Linked DNA regions of Astyanax mexicanus. The protein of the gene in region 2 interacts with the protein of the main gene of each other region in a pairwise test. Links are inferred from orthologs where the notes say so. Each region holds a gene or a part of one and is shown on either strand. Other genes may lie near its edges.

Region 1 (9,194 bases), on a different chromosome or scaffold from region 2:
TAACAAACTGTTGCCTTGCAAAAAACTATTTTTTTTAATAATGCACTAGAGAAAAAGAGAATCATCACGAAAAACTCAACACATGAAAACGTTAAAACAGGTTTTTTTTTAGGGTGTGTAAATGCACAGAGCTACTTCTAAAGTGTTAGCTTATTGACTCGGCTAACTAATTAGTGCCTGTTCCATCAGTGAAAAGCTGCAAATTCATTTCAACTTTCAGACAACACAAGATATCTATGAACGCCACCTTCATCGACTTCTTCTAATGATGCTAAAGCTAATTTAAGCCATATTTTTTCCATTTTTCTCTGCAAAAGCCAGGAATTCTGTCACAAATATAGCGGCACAACATAAAAAATGAAAAATCACGTGGGCTGTTATACGTGAATAATAAATGTGCCTAATTATGCATGACCACTTTATACGTTTTTTTTTTTACGCAAAGCCCCAGATGCGGCGGAAACTAGGTCATTTACCTGCTGCTGCAGTTTTTCTTGCTTTTATTTTTCCGCTTGGACCCGTCCCGGTCTTTATGGCTGGTGAATGGTAACATTGAGGCGTACCCATGCTCGGCTTCTGCGATAAAAAAAAACAAGAAATCAGAGGAAAATGCAATACGTTAGCGCTGTACACTCGTTTAGATGATGGATGACAGTCATGCAATCGTGCAAACGTGCAATTACGCAATATTAATGCATTGCAATTAGTGATGCTAGAGTTTCTCGATGCACTTGGATGAAAACAGCCACATTTCAAGGTCTATTTCTGCTTTAATTTGCTCAAATTCGCCGTATTTCCAGCAAATCTACGGCTTTTGGGTCAATGATGTCATCTGAACTGGAGTAAACCCAGCAGCCAGCCGGAGAAACCACAACAGTGCGAGGGGAGGGGGGATGCGCTAGGAAAGCCTCCATCAGGAACAAACAGCTGCACTGAAAAACCCATTTTAATCCCAATAAAAAAGCCCTGCTGCACAAATACAGCACATATGCATGCAGGATATACACTGTATATATGCACTGAAGCATGCACACGTATAAAAAAGCCTTTTGGAAGCTGTATAATCTAAATTTACCCTTTAAAAAAGGAAAATACTGACTGGATGCACAGTGGCCATGCATGCTTATTTATAAATCCAGTGCTCTACAGTGCTAGCCTAGCCTACGGCTAATCTCTCACAGCTAAAGTGGTTTATAAATAAAGAGCTGGATTTTGCACGTGCATGTGAATTTGTATTATAACTGATTTAATGGAATCATAAGCACAAGAAATTGATTGTTAAAAAATAAAATGCTAAAATTAAAGCTATAGCTCTATAGGTTTATTATATAATCCAATAAAATCAAAACTGTTATCAACGTAGTTAAAACCTTTGCTTTATACTGTCGTTATTAATGGTCATGATTTTAGGCCTAAAAACTGTTTTAATACCATTTTAATAAGTGAGTTTTTAAAAATGAAAGAAAAATTAGAACTACTAGGATTTACTAGGAGATACATGCATTTATAATATAATATAATAATTACCTTTATCTTTTATAAGTTATCATAATTTATTTCAAATTTACTAAACTTGCACCAAATAAAAAAAAAGATCTAAAACTGAACAAAATCAAAAAATAGGCCAAACCAAACCGAATTCGCAAATGTTGAGTTCAGAAGGTAGATTACTTTTTATTTACAGTTTTCTGAAGTTTAGGCTCCTCCCTCTCTCTGCTGTTGTAGAGTGTGGAATATGGAGCTAGACTAGTGTTTATTCACTACATTAAAAAAAGCTCTCCTTTAAAACATTAAAGAACATTAAATTAATCTAATTTAAAAAGCAACAAAACATATATTTTTATAGATATTATTAATCTGTTTTTACAGAATTCTGATGTGAATACTGAATACCTATTTAAAATAATTTTTTTGTTTTTTTTAATTAAATTTGCCATGTTTTTTTTTTCTTTTTACCAATACACAGATTAAATAACCTAAAAAATATTATATTATTATTTAGTATGTATATAAATTATGACATATTTATTACAAACCCTGTTTATGGCTGGTTTTCGCTTATTCATTCATTCATTCATTCATTCATATTTTAACAAACACACAAATTAAATAGCCTTAAACTAAATTTGTTTTTTTTTGCCAAATTTTATTTTTCCAGTAAAATAATTTCAGTAGTAACAAAAGTTTTATCTTATAATATGATATAGAGTAGCTATCATGTGTGTTTTTTTAGTATTCTTATATAAAAAAGCTGTATAGGAAAGAGATTTTCATTTTATACATATGATATATTTTGTATACATGCATTTATTACAGAAGGTACATTATATAGGTTATATAGGTCTGTGTGTGTAAAATATACTGTGTATATTAATACTGCTGGTGTTGATGTTGATAATGATGATGTTGATGGTAGTATGGTCTAAAAATTACTTTAAATATAGCTATAGAGTAAGATTACGATAATTTTGCATGCATTTTTCTATTTTTAATTATTATTATTATTTATTAATCACTCACCTCTTTCCCTTCGATCCAGATACTCAGCAGCTTCGATCAACATCTGCACCAAACCAATGGCAGCCATTTTCAACAATAACACAGGAATTAAAAATGATAAAAATGTATATATGATGTATATAGAGCTGTGTGACACTCCAGGTCAGATTGTGTCCTTAAAAAATGTTAAAAAATAATAAAAAAGCAGAGTCTAGCTGTTGTTTTTCTTGTGTTCTTCGTGTGGGCTGCAGTTCTGCTGGATAAAAACAAAAGATATTCCAGCTTTCTTAGGAGCAGAAGCTGCAGAAATACAAATACAAGAAATAAAATTGATTAAAAAAATTGATAAATTGATTTTTTTTATGGTTTTCTGTTGGAAAAAGGCAGGAAAATGAAAGAAAATGTAGATGTGCCTCCTTTAATGTAGTGCAAAACGTCCAAAAAAAAGTGTTCCCAAAGAAAAAAACAGTCCAACTCTCCAAAACAGTGATTTTACAGCCTGAATCCCACTATAAAACGTCCAAAAAATCTAAAAATAAAATCAGAATATGGAAAAACACGTCCCTTTTCTTGTTGCTGCTACAGAGCCAGCCAGCTAGCTCCTGTATATCTTCTTTATAAAGGGAATCCTGCTTATATATAAAGCATATATGCTGGATTAGTGCAAAAAAAACACGTTAAAATCTCCTTAAAACACGAAAAATAAGAATACAGTGCAGCACAGGCACTTCTTAAAGCATGAACTCAAAGCCAAAACAACGCTGACAGACCAGTTCTTCAGCAGATTAAAGGTAAAAAGCGAATAAACGCTTAGTTTTAGCTTAAATCCAGCGGTTTTAGCTTTTAAACGCTGTTTTTAGGTTAAATAAATAGTGCTTTAAAGCACAGAGCTGCTGGATTCTGCCTCCTGCTCCTGCTGCCCGACCAGAGCTACAGCCACAATACACGCACCTCACAGCAGGCCGCGCTCCGATTGGTCGAGCTGGCGCGGTGTCGGAGAGGACTGCGTTCTGATTGGTCGGTACGGCTGTGGGGCGTGAGTTCACGGCGTTGGAGGAGGAAGGCGGGTTGCTATTGGCTGAAGCGGCTGTCAGTTTTTTTTGTCACCTATTTTTTAATCGTGTCTCGGTGTAAAAAAATAGAAAATAACGTAAATAAAATACGTAACCAGATAGAATATACTGCATTTTTACCTTGTATGAATAATACATTAAATAGAAGTAATAATTAAATACAAATATTAACGTTAGTGTAAAAAAAAAATAATAAAAAACGTAACAAGATAGAATAAATTGTATTTTTACGTTGTATAAATTAGACATTAAATTTAATAATAATTAAATAAAAAATATAAACGTTAGTGTAATGCAAAATGAAAAAATAAAATACGTAAACAGATGAAATGAACTGTAATATTTTATCATTTAGAGACGATATATAGTATAGATATTTTAGATAAAGATACATAATCAATATATATGTATATATAAATGTAGATAAATAAATAAATAAATACAAATAGAATAAAATGCAAAACGTAAGCTACTGAAATGCTTTTACTGAGTATTTCTAAGTTGCAATAATACACTGCATATAACAGTCAAAAGACATCTAAAAAAGACAGATAAATAATAAATACATTTTTAAAAATCGCAGGACGTTCACGTTAGAAACCATTGTATATGGGTAGCAATGGATTCCTGGTTAACGCTGTGGTTTGCAATGCATAAAAAAAAAATATATATATATATATATATAACAGACCACATGCACTAAAAACAGCAATACAGTTGTCAAAATAATACGAATAATAAGAATAAAGTTGACAGATAACATTAAGCTTGTTTTAGCCAACTAACTAATTCTGATGGTATTCGTTAGCTATATAAATAAACGTTTTAGCGCTGTTCAGCTGCACGTAAACATATTTATCTAGGTAAAATAACCAGGCATTATCCGACAAAGCCAGAAGACGGTGTTCTGTCGAGTTGTGCTACCCGTCCAAAAGTGCTTCCTACCGATACTGCGCATGCGCGGACACGCACACATTCTTTAAAAAGGTTTTTTTTTAATGTTGATTTTTGCTGTTAAGTATTAGTATGGAAGCCCATTTCCGCCACCTGAAGAAAAAAAAACGTCCTCAACTAAGTCATAATTATGAGATAGAAAAGTCATAATTATGGGATAGAAGGCATATTTATGAGATAGAAAGTCATAATTATGAGATAGTAAGTCATAATTATGAGAAACTAAGTCATAATTATGAGATAAAAAAGTCATAATTATGAGATAGTAAGTCATAATTATGAGATAGAAAAGTCATAATTATGGGATAGTAAGTCATAATTATGAGATAGTAAGTCATAATTATGAGATAGTAAGTCATAATTATGAGATAAAAAAGTCATAATTATGAGATAGAAAGTCATAATTATGAGATGATTTTTATCTCATAATTATGACTTACTATCTCATATTTATGAGATAAAAAGTCATCTCATAATTATGACTTTCTATCTCATAATTATGACTTTCTATCTCATAATTATGACTTAGTATCTCATAATTATGACTTTCTATCTCATAATTATGACTTACTATCCCATAATTATGACTTTTCTATCTCATAATTATGACTTAGTTGAGGACGTTTTTTTTTCTTCAGGTGGCGGAAATGGGCTTCCATATATTAGTGCTATTCTCTCTCAATCTCTTATTTAGTTAACGTATTAATTAATAATTATTTATTATTGATTTATGATATTTATGTGGTGTATTCCTCAAACATATTTGGACTCTCCACTGTGTTATTTGTGTTTTTAAAATTTTTGAAAAGGGGGTTTCATACAATATGTATTTACAATTGCATTTAAAAGCATACAAAAATACTAAATTATACATTTTTCTTTTTTTTTGTAGTCGTTCTTGTTGTTGTTGCATCAATTACTTCTATATATGCATTTTATATTAGAAATCAGTCAATACCTATTCAAATATGAATTATTACATGCTGCAACAAATACATAAAGGAAAACAGACACAAATATATGTATGTATGTATTCACATACATAATGTTTTACATAGTTTTTTTATTTTAACTGTATTTGTATTTCTAATATGGTGCTTTTGTCTTTTGAAAATATGTTCTATAAATATACACGATGGTAGCACGTTTTGTCAAGAGAGCACAAACTGACAGAACACTGGAGAATCCGGAACAGGAAGTGGATTCCTATTGGTTGCCATGGTTGCCATTTTTTTCTCAGACTCGTTGTAAAAAAAATGTACGTAAATATAATACGTAAATAAAAATAGCGCAAAAATGCTACAAAAAGCATTATAAATAAATCCAGTTAAAAATATACAAAAAATTACACAAAAACTAAAAAGAGTGCTTTGTTGTCCTGCGCCTATTGGTCGGTCGCCTCCTCGCCGAGATATATGGTCGCTCCTGATTGGCCAGAAAAGGCAACACCCACAGAACTCCATTGCAGTGATTGATCAAAAAGCACCAACCCTAGAAAACCTTGCTTGTGATTGGTTGAAATGAGACACCCCCTGAAGCCACGCCCCTAGCACATGCTGTTCTGCAGAAATTCACCTCCGAGCTGCTTTTCCCTTATAATAATATTTAATCAGTTAATAATTTTAATAAATAAGAATAAATATTATTAGTGGAGAATTAGGATAATTTATTATTAGTTAATACAGAGATTAAGAGTGTTTTAAGAGGGCATTACACTTAATAAATTAGTCTATTTACTACATATGAATATAACGTGTTGCACAAACACTTTAATATCTTCATGCAATACTTTTATATAATTTATAAATATACTATCGGTCAAAAGTTTTAGAACACACCAATTGTTTAATAGTCCAGTAGCTGCAGTTCTTTTTATTACTGCAGTTCTTCTTCTCCTGTCAGATTAACCCTAATTCTAATTCTTCTCTTCTCTGCTGAAACTGAGACTCAGTCCTTAATCATGTTAATCTGAGCTAAAGTCTAAAAGCTGCTGTTTCCATGTGGGTCAGCCAGACGTCTTCCTGTAGCAGCTTTCTCCAGTTTCCAAGAGTCTTTTGAAGGTTGTATCACTAATTTCTCTAAAGAAAATAACTTTTAATAGTTACAGAGTTCTCTGTGTTTCTGTGTCTTTTTCTAGATATAATGATGATGAAAGTGTGAATGTGCTGTAAGTGTGTAAGTATGTAAATGTTGCTGCTGTAGAGAGTAACAGCAGTAACACCATCTGTTCCACCACTGCTTTACTACTTGGAATAATATAAAATCCTTTACATATATCCAATACATATATGCTACAGACCAGCTATAAACTGTTAAACCATGAACCGTTTGCTAAAAATCACCCCCTCTTTTTTAAACAATATGTTTTTTTTCAGTTTTTAGTTAATCTAAGGCAGTTTATAGCAAAAAAAATATGTTTTTTGTATTAGAAACAAGAAGCTCTGGAAAAAGTGAAGAGAACACAAACCAGTTTCTCTGATTTTGCTATTTATAGGTTTATGTTTGAGTAAAATGAGCATTGTTGTTTTATTCTATAAACTACAGACAACATTTCTCCCAAATTCCAAATAAAAATATTCTCATTTAGAGCATTTATTTACAGAAAATGAGAAATGACTGAAATAACAAAAAAGATGCAGAACTTTCAGACCTCAAATAATGCAAAGAAAACAAGTTCATATTCATAAAGTTTTAAGAGTTCAGAAATAATCAATATTTGGTGGAATAACCCTGGTTTTTAATCACAGTTTTTTTTCATGCATCTTGGCATCATGTTCTCCTCCTCCACCAGTCTTACACACTGCTTTTGGATAACTTTATGCTGCTTTACTCCTGGTGCAAAAATTCAAGCAGTTCAGTTTGGTGGTTTGTGATCATCCATCTTCCTCTTGATTATATTCCAAATCGTATTTTTTTCCCCCAGAGCTGTATAAAAGGAACACAAGAGTTTTTTGTGGGTTTTTTTTCTTGTTTTATTAATATTGGGAACCACAATACAGAATCACACAATATAGAGGTGAAACTACTCAACAGTGTTCAAGCTTTTTAAACCCTTCAAGAAATAAAACAGGCATGTGAACAATAAATCCTAAATATAGGAAATAATGATGATAATAATAATAATAAAAACTGCAAGCACAAACACTAAACAAAAACTAAAAGTTACAAAGTTACACAGAGTGGATCAAAGCGAAGTCTCAGGAAGCTCGATTACGACTTTATTAAGCGATGAAGTCCAGCGGTCTGTTGAATCCACCTTTCCTGTTCATATACTGTCTGTAAAAGAAAATATGATTACATCATTGATCTCCCCTCTGCACCAACATATTACATCATCGCCGGCCAATGGGAGCGCGCGTCTCTGAGCTGTGCAGCACCTGCAGCTCTGATTGGCTGTTTAAGCAGGCTGTTGCTACTAACAGTGCAACCAAACAATGGGCTGCTGCTCAGAACAGCAGAGCTCAGACATAAACACAGGCATACAGCTGATCCACGCCCCGACCACGCACAAACCTCGTATCTCAGAGACACATCCTCAGAGAGATGCTGCTGATTTTACTGTGCATGTACATCAACATGCATATACATATACAGCAATCATTAATGCATAAACATTTAGCAATGATTAATAATTTCTAATTAGTGTCAATTAATATTTTAAGATAATTTATTAAATAACTTGCTTAACAATTTCACAATATTTATTAAAGTCATAACGACTCTTATTTAATTATCCTTAATGTAAAAGTGTTTCCGATATTTGATATTATTTTACAAATATGAGACTCAGCGACTATATATTTGTATACTTACAAATATAAATGAGATGTTTTTAAATGGGATTACAGTCATATGAAAAAGTTTGGGCACCCCTATTAATCTTACTCATTTTTAGTTCTAAATATTTGGGTGTTTGAAACAGCCATTTCAGTTTGATATATCTAATAACTGATGGACACAGTAATATTTCAGGATTGAAATGAGGTTTATTGTACTAACAGAAAATGTGCAATATGCATTAAACCAAAATTTGACTGGTGCAAAAGTATGGGCACCCTTATCATTTTATTGATTTGAATACTCCTAACTACTTTTTACTGACTTACTGAAGCACAAAATTGGTTTGGTAACCTCATTGAGCTTTGAACTTCATAGCCAGGTGTATCCAATCATGAGAAAAGGTATTTAAGGTGGCCAATTGCAAGTTGTTCTCCTATTTGAATCTCCTCTGAAGAGTGGCATCATGGGCTCATCAAAACAACTCTCAAATGATCTAAAAACAAAGATTGTTCAACATAGTTGTTCAGGGGAAGGATAGAAAAAGTTGTCTCAGAGATTTAACCTGTCAGTTTCCACTGTGAGGAACATAGTAAGGAAATGGAAGAGCACAGGGACAGTTCTTGTTAAGCCCAGAAGTGGCAGGCCAAGAAAAATATCAGAAAGGCAGAGAAGAAGAATGGTGAGAACAGTCAAGGACAATCCACAGACCACCTCCAAAGAGCTGCAGCATCATCTTGCTGCAGATGGTGTCACTGTGCATCGCTCAACAATACAGCGCACTTTACACAAGGAGAAGCTGTATGGGAGAGTGATGCGAAAGCACACTTCAGGTGACTCTGTTTGTGGCGTGCTTGCAGAAATAGCTTCTTTTGCCATTCAAATAGGAGA
Region 2 (8,947 bases):
AACTGATTTTTCTAATATTTTAAATGAAAATAAAATAACAGGGTAACATTTTTCCTTACATTTAAGATTTGCTATTTATTTTCTGACATATTTTAATATATATTACCTTATTGTCTTTTTGTTTTGAGGTATGCTATATTAAGGAAACAGTCATTTATATATATATATATATATATATATATATATATATATATATATATATATATATATAATAAAATGTTTTACTTCATGACATAATGTGAATCTAATTGTCATTTACCTTAAGTCAACATCTATTAATTAATGAGGGAATAAAATTCCTCCAATTTTTTTTTACTTTGACTTTCATTAAAAGATAATACGGTTTTCTGCTTCTGCATATTTATTGATCTGTAACAGTGAAGATATACAAGCACTAAAACTATAAAACTATACACTACATTTTTCTAAACCCAATTAATTAAACATATGACATAATAAAACCAATGAACTACTACAATAACACTAAACTAATAAAACCACTCCTTTCAGGGCTGCTTAAATAGACACACACTTAAAGCCAGGCTTAAGTACTTACTGTGGTCAAAGCCATTGTCGCTAAAGGTGCCGTCCGTCTGCTGAGCCATGGCGAGGTGAAGTTCAGGACGAGGGAAAAATAAACACTCGGATTAATTCAGACAAAATGACAGAATTCTCTTAACGGTAAAGAAAAGAGAGACACAGACAGACAGACAGACCGATACAAACCACCCGCCAGCACTAAAAGTTATACACCTGGCACATCATGCATCTAGGACACCAGTACTCCCTACTGTGATATGTCCTCAATAAATAACCATTAGCACCCCGCTACGCCCGGCAGAGACGGCTTTATTACTTTACAAAACGCTGGAACCATAAAAGCGAAGGCACTTTCAGCAATGATGAGAATAATAAATGCCATTTACAATGCTAACAATGAGAAATGCCACTTAAATGTACCTGCACTTACAATGCCAGTGAATAGGGCTCGGTTAAAATTATGATAATTTAGCATTATAAAGATAAACTGTGACAATTTTAGCTGTGGATGAAGATCAACCTTTAACAGCATGCTTCATCATTATCAAAATAGCATTATTATTATTAGGGATGCAGCAATGACTTTAGACAATGCAGAAATACACTCTAAAAACGGGAGGTTACACCGATTACAGATTGTCTTTCAATGCGTTTGGTGGATCGCTGATGCCAATTGAAGACCTCAGGAGGGGAATCCGGTTACTGGTATTAAAGGCACACCATGCAACATTTTCAGTTAATCAATGCATTTCATACTGTTTAAGATAAATACATGGGTAATTATGAAGCGTAAGAAGTTTCTCACTTTTTCACCCTTTTGGTCTGTAGGGGAAAAAAAAATCTTGGGCATTGCAAGAGTCAGTCTCGCTTTATGGCAAATGCTACATATATCCTCAGCAAAAAGCAAGAGGCAGGCTAGTTGCTAGAGGGCCATAGTTATAGATGTGCAAGTCTTCTCCGAATAGCCAGAGCTAAAATTCTAATATTGCCTGTCTATTATTATGAACTATTTTGCAAGCTTGCTTCATAAGTGACGTTTAGTCCAGGTATGTGTATTTACTTTACTAAACAGCACATTATTTGGCACAAATTTGGTTTGAAGTGGATTTTACAATATATAAAATCAGAATCCAGTATAAGATCTTGTCGCACTTGCTACTCAAAAAACTCTTTTCTGACTTTTTTTCCCCCAAACATGCAATGTACAAACCCTTTTCTGATATGTTTAATAGTCTATTGTGCTCAACACATCATGCATGGCTAGGGTATGGAACCAGAGGAATAGCATTGTGACAGAGAACATTTACTCTTGGTCTGTAGGGGAGCCTCTAAAAAAAACAACCAAGGATGGCAGCATAGTGTGCCTTGCTCCCTTCAAGAGGCGCAATACAATGCGATTCTGCAGCCATGTACAAGCCTTATATTTCCATATACATTTTTTTTTTTTACCAAGAAATGTAATCATCATGTGATAGAGGATCTTTGCACAAAGAATATAATCTGACCGGCTCTTAGAATCAGCATATTAGAGCAATATTGCATTATTTGTCTAAAAACATCTGACAATATTAAAACTGCCAATCAACTTTACAGCTTTTCTAGCACAGTGAAGAATAAACCACTTTATATAATTATTTTGGACCTATGACTTTCCTGGTGAAATCTAGTGAAAATTTGTAAAATTTGTATCACAATATATATTTTGCAGAAAAAACATATTGCAATGTCAGATATGTGCCAGTATCGTGCATCCATATTGCCCACATCTATCCCTTGATAAACAGTCAACCACTTTATTAAACCGCATTAAAGCACAGATTTGTGCTGACTTCAAACTTGAAAAAGTAAAAAAAAAATGGGAGGGGTAGTTTGGGCATGGCACTGGGTGATGTTTGGGTTTAGAGGCGGTGCAGAAGGGAGAGCTGACAGGCTAAGCTGCAGCAACAGCAGTGTGCCTTTGATACCCAGATGGTTTGAGTTCAGCAGGGGGGTGTTATTATTTATTGACAGGTGTTATCTGCATATTGTAAGTGTCTGCATACCAATGTACACGGACACATCATCCTTGCCTATAGCACAGTTGAACCTGGTTAGGAAATGTATATACAAAATTTAAGCAAAACTAATACGTTTTGTGCCTTTTCAGGAACACATTTCATCTATTAATGAAAAAAATATGGCTTAGTGTCACTTTAAGTATCCAACTAGCTATCTAGCTATACAGCCAATTTCTGTCAGTAATGCTAGTTTAACAATTTATATCAGTATCACTAAGTATTAAACTAAAACAAAGCACCCCCTAAAAAGTGAAACAGAGCTCACTGTAAGGTAAACATGTTTTACACAATAGTAAACTCTCCTTTCTAAGCTACTTAACAGTAAACTTTACAAAATATGTAAAGAATGTCGTTTTTACACAAGTTTTCTAGCTAAGCTAACCTAGCTAGCTAATCCAAACTAAGGTTAGTTTAGCTAGTTAGCGTTTCCGAATCCAATGTAGGTCAGCTGAGCTCGGTGACAACACCGAGTTTTGAGAAGAGGCTAACTTACAGTCTTAGCTAACGCTAACTAACTACCTAATTTAGCTATTTAAGTTATTTTAGAGTTTATGAGGCGGATATTTTAGTTGTACAATACTGTACTAAGTTGTATATTTTAATGTACAATATAGACAAACGAGCTTATTTAAAATCATTTAGAAATATATATTTACAAATATAGCTTGTTAGCTAGCTAAGACATTAAGCTTGTTACTAGAGTTGGCTAATCCAGGTCCAGAAATACGAATCCATCCCAGGGTTTTGTTCCAACAGCCTGTGCGGGTCTACTTGCAGCTACAGCGTCCACGCAGTTGGAGCAAAATCCCGGAGTGGATTTATACTTATGGACGTTTCTGGACATTCTCTATCCCAAATAGAGATACATCATTGTTATATCAGTGATCATTCGCAGTCTGATAAGTTACTACAGTGTTATAAATCATGTTATAAGTCTGGGAAGACGTTGGCTAACGCTAATATGACGTAGATAAACACAAAGGAGCCAGATCCCCAAGTTTTCTTTTGTTTAGCCAGCTTTACTATTAGTCTTCTATTGATCATCATAAAGTGAAAGTAACGTTAGTTGATTCCAGCGCTTATATTCTCTAATCTCAGGTTTATCACATCAGTAAAGCACCTGACTGTCTTCTACAGGAGTTAAACAGCTGAACTGTCTGCTTACTTTGTGCCAGGGATCCTCCGGCGACGCGCTGGGCTCCGTCATTTTGGAAGAAACACGGAAAGATCACGGGATGAGGAGCTGAGGGGAGCGCGCTGGAGAACAGCGCCGTCTGCTGCTGCTGATCTCAGCTGATCAGGAGTCAGAACCCGGGGACACACTCCTCTATCACCAGCAGAGGAGGGTAAAGAGGTTTTAGAGCTCACAGCAGGAGGAAATCTGGATATTCATAAATTCTCTTCACATAAAACATTTTTTTATGGAATAACTTCTGACATTACTATGAAAAATAAGTCAGTGTTTTATCCAAAGTTCTTTTACATAAATATTCAGGGAATTATTAATATTTTTGACAGCTCTGGAAATTACACATCTGAAAAGGTACTATCAATGCTGAATTTATACAGTATGCAGTACATAGAGGCTTTAGAACTTCCTGACAATGTCTCTTTCAGGAAGCCTTGCATATGTCAGCAATACAATGCTAAACCACATACTGCATCCATTTTGAGATATCATAATTTTCGAGCTATTAAGCGCAACTGTAAGCCCCACCCACTAATTAAAAAAAAATGTTTGTATACAGGCCACACATAATTAGCCTGACTACAAGCCGCACATGGCTATGAGCCACACTTTTAATTAAACAGGCCATGTACACAAATATAGTTACGTACCGTGAACAGTGCTGCGTTCACGGTACATAAAATATGTTCTTAGGGTGTACGTACGGTTTAAAATAATACAGTAGTCACAAGATCCTTGTCATAAAATTAATTGGTAAGTCTAATATAAATGTATAGGCGAAAAAAGGGGTTTGTTGAATGTAATTTGCTTTAAAACCAGTTACAAAGAAAATAAAAGCTCAACTGGTAACAGCTGGATACCTCTGCGAAGCACCGCACACTCTGCCGACCCGGGATGCGGTAAGCTCAGAACCCCACTTTAAAATGACCAAAAATTACGGTACATAAAGTTTTACAAAAATAAAAGCAAGAAACATTGAGCATATTGATATATTAATGTATATTAATACTGTATAAATACACTTACCTTTTGTTATACTTTTTCATATTGGAATAGAACTACATTGGAAAACATTATTTATGTATGTAGGGAGCGACAGGGGTGACATTCAGAAGCCAGATTGCTCCAGGGAAGAGGCTGGAGATGTTGAAGTGATATTTTGTGTGGGTGGTGCTGGCCTTGAAATGTCTCTGTAATGGCAGTTTGGTGAAGAGATCACTATCACTACGGGGGTCTGAACAGTTCCTCTCATCATTCTTCCTTATTCTGGACACGCTCGCGGCTCCAGCGGTGGTTACTGGCAGGGTCGATACGGGCAGTTGCCTAAGGCAGTGAAAGCTTAGGGGCACACCCACATAAACACACATTCTTTTAAGTGGTGTTTATGTCCTGGGGTCCTTTTTCTTCCATGAATATACAGAAAAAGTTATAGACTAAAACTAGCTGATTTATTTTGTACATAAATTATACATACAGATTTACAGAAGATGTTGTACAGAAGTACTGACTGACAAAACTGTGTTTATGATATATATTTTATTAATGTGGAAAAGATGCGTGGCTCAGTGGTTTGAGCACTGTGTTATTGATCACAGGGTTGTGGGTACAATGTCCTTGTTTGCTGGGCTGCCGCTGTTGGGCTTTTGCTGCTCAAATCCAGCTTTTCCTTGCTCTCCTTCAAAATGACTTGACAAATGGATCAGCAAAAAAAGGTAAAGGCTGCATTTACTATTGTAGAGAGCCATGATTTTGGTCCGACAGCAACTATCTGAAACAATCCTGTATGGTTACTCCCAAGCTAGACGTTTACAAAAGGAAAAAAAATCAAAGTTACACCTGCACAAACACCTTTAAGAATGCAGCAAGTGGTTCCTGAAGGGTTAGTCAGCTTTTTAATTTAATTAACTTGTTACTTGTTATTTTTGGTTATCATTGCCATCTCTCCTTAGTTTCACTAAATTCATGTGCAGGACTAGCAGTAATGTTAATGTCAGCTTGTGCTAAATAGCAAAACATGAGCAAGGTAGTTCATGCATAATTGAGATAGAAACAAAACTCTGCTGACTTGCCACGGACAGCAGGTACAGATCCCTCCCTCAGACAAAGTCTGCTGGGTAATCTTGCTGTGTACTGTCCAAGGTTCTCAAAGCTGTCTGCCTTGAAGTGGTTTGCACACACCAGAAGTTTCTTGGCGATTGTTGTTGAAACATGGCCATTGAAAAAAGAATGTGTTGTTCTTGGCAGCCAAAAAACACCACATGTGACTTTCTTTTGCCTGTAGCCAACGCATTCAGTGTGGCAGATCTTCAACTGATCTATTGGGTGAGGCTCTGGTAGGGGTTGATGTATGAAGGGTGGTGCCTGAGTGGTTCTATGCAAATTTTATCATTCTGACGTAAGACTAAGGGTGGAAATCCACATGTGTATAACACCAAGGGCCTAGGCATGCAGACTGCTTCTACAAACATTAGTGAAAGAATGCGGCACTATCAGGAAATCAGTGAATTCCAGTGTTTTACTGTGATAGGATGCAGTACCTGTGAAACAAGTCCAGTCACAAAATTTCCTCACTAGTAAATATTCCACAGCCAACTGTCTGTGCTATTATAACAAAGTGGAAGCAACTGGGAACAAAAGCAACTCGCTCTGCCAATGTAAAATAACAGAGACAGGAGTCAACGGATCTCCAACTTTCTACAGCAGAGTCTATCACTCCAGACCTTCAAACTTCATGTGGCTGTCAGATTAGCCCAAGAACAGCGTAGAGCGTGAAGACCTTCATGGAATGGGTTCCATGGCTGAGCCGCTCCACCCAAGCCTTACATCACCAAACTCAAGACAGACGAGCTGCTTCTCTTGGTAATATGGTGTATGTACCACACGGTGGCATTCTGAGGTAAGTTTATGGAGATATAGTAAGTCAAAAGTGGGTAGAAGGCCAGATCTAGCCAACATGACTTTTGTTTTTCCACAAGGCCAAACCTTCTTTTGCACATATTTAATAATTAATAAAGACCAACACCAGTTTATCTTTCAGCTTGAAGTTAGTACTATGTCACATCTATTACGATTTTTTCTCTCTCTTTCTTTCTCTTGCTCTGGCTTTCAGCCTCTTCTCTTGCTCTTTTTCTCTCTCTCTCTCAGTTTCTCTTGCGCATCGTTTTCAGGAAGCGTCTGTTGCTTCTGCTTTTTTCTGTGGTTTCCTCCTCTTGCACTTCAACCCTCCCTTGTCACTAAACGCTAAACGTTTTTTCAAACAAGGAGACACACACACACACACACACACCAGAGCCCACTAGAAGTTTAACATTCGGACAGGTGTCTTCTTCTCTTCTTCGTTCACACTTCCTATCTTTTCGAGGATAAACTTCAGTGTTGTTGGACAGACAGTGGATGTTACTGAAAGGATGAAGAAAGATGCTTCAGCGTGCGTCACTCTCAACCAGAGGATGAGCAGACAGAGGCCTAGTGCTGAGCAACGTTACTGAACAGCTGGAGGGCATTCAAAACTTGATTCACTTTGCCTGAAGGACAGCTATTGTTCATAAAGTGAATGTTAGCATTGTAAGTGGCATTTCTGCTTCCCTTTTTTCCAGACACAGTGTTTTTTGCATACATATGTGTGTCTGGTGTGTTTTTCCCTCCATTTTGAAACGAACAGGAGATTGCTCAATATAGGACTGTGTGTTTTGCTTCTTATGCATTAAATTGATGGTAAAACCCTATTTTTTTTTATCGGTAGAGTACAAGATTACAAAATTCTGATTATTTTTGTTTTTTTGCTACTTTTTCCCTTTGATCTTTCCTCCTGCTCTTGCTGTTTTTGACAGCATGTCATAAAAGAAATGCTTCAGCCACTTTTTTGGACCTGACCGAACCAAAGAACATTGTGGAGATTCGTAAACTTTCGAAAAAGGCATTGGATTTGATCTTTAAGAGTTGACTGGCCGTGATTGGTCAGAAGCCGTTTGCTGTGGGAATTGTCACTTGCTGGAGGTTGGGATCCTGGAATACTTTCGGAAGGTAGTGATGGGTAATGCGGCAGGTGGCCTAGAGCAGCCGGAGGGCCAGGAGGCCCGGGCCTCGTTGGGTGGGACCAGTCCCTTACCTGGCACAATAAAGAAGAAAACGGCCCCACCCAAACTCCCCATGCCCCCCGAGGAGGAACTAGAGGAGCGCTTCAATGTGGTTTTGGTGAGTGATTCACACATGAACAGTGATGGAACAAAAAGAAAGAACGCCCACATATGTTTAGATGTAAACAAGAACAATCAAATATTAATTGTTTTAAAAGGATACATAATGATTAAAGACACAAATAGGACAGTTTAATACCGAAGTAAAACTTTACACGACAATCAAACACACATCAAACAAGCAAGAAGAGCAAAAAGAACAATGTACAACCATGACTAAATATTCTCACCATGTGCAAAAGTACATTAAACACATACACTCCTGATTCCTGCAAATATATCTTAAGTCCCTTATTTCGCTTATAAAATATGTAGATATATTTTAGGCCTCACAACCAAATGATAAATAATAGCCCAGATATGCCTACATGTATAAGATAAATACTGTATAAAGCTCCTGAAAATACAGGTGGTTTAGTAAATATCAGATAACAAAAGTTAAAGAACCCACTTTAAACAGACAAACAAACAGTGGATCTAACTTACATTAACAACCTATTTCATTTTTGCTGATTTTTTTTTTTTTTTCAATTTTATCCATTGTGTTTATTTATTTATCAGAGCCTATTAGTCTAAATGAGCCAGTGTGTTGACTTTGTTTTAAAACAGTGTTTTTATTTGATTTATGTTTTATTTATTTTGGATATTTGAACATTTCTAATCTGCCATTGCCTTGTTGTTGAAGGTCAGTCAATCCCAAAAAGTATAAGAACTTTAAAAGCATCTTTAGGTGTAGTCGCAAAAAACATCAAAAATGTTATGATGAAAGTGGCTCTCATCAGGACCACCCTAAAACAAGGAAGACAAAGAGTTATCCCATAAGAGATAAGAGCCCACCTAACTTCTTCACCGAATACTTTAAATGAGAAGATGTGTCCAGAGTTTTGACTGGTACTGTGTATCATGTAAATGTCCTGAAACCACAGGCGGTTTAATTACTAAGTAACCAAATCTTATTCTAATGT

Evidence for each region.
Region 1: the proteins of mlx (region 2) and mxd1 interact in a two-hybrid assay, tested with the Homo sapiens proteins (2 studies listed by BioGRID and IntAct). The link is inferred for Astyanax mexicanus from reciprocal best matches to the Homo sapiens genes MLX and MXD1.

Annotation. Positions count from the first base shown.
Region 1 is NC_064429.1:36,923,520-36,932,713, forward strand, and holds the start of mxd1 (max dimerization protein 1), read right to left. Parts: upstream 3,451-9,194; 5' UTR 2,588-3,450; coding exon 2,521-2,587; intron 577-2,520; coding exon 477-576; intron 1-476. Other genes in the region: snrnp27 (U4/U6.U5 small nuclear ribonucleoprotein 27 kDa protein), read right to left, coding at 7,748-7,802. UniProt on the Homo sapiens protein: Component of a transcriptional repressor complex together with MAX. In complex with MAX binds to the core DNA sequence 5'-CAC[GA]TG-3'. Antagonizes MYC transcriptional activity by competing with MYC for MAX binding.
Region 2 is NC_064426.1:23,206,311-23,215,257, forward strand, and holds the start of mlx (max-like protein X), read right to left. Parts: upstream 3,902-8,947; 5' UTR 3,805-3,901; coding exon 3,763-3,804; intron 597-3,762; coding exon 557-596; intron 1-556. Other genes in the region: fmnl1a (formin-like protein 1), read left to right, coding at 7,816-7,980. UniProt on the Homo sapiens protein: Transcription regulator. Forms a sequence-specific DNA-binding protein complex with MAD1, MAD4, MNT, WBSCR14 and MLXIP which recognizes the core sequence 5'-CACGTG-3'. The TCFL4-MAD1, TCFL4-MAD4, TCFL4-WBSCR14 complexes are transcriptional repressors.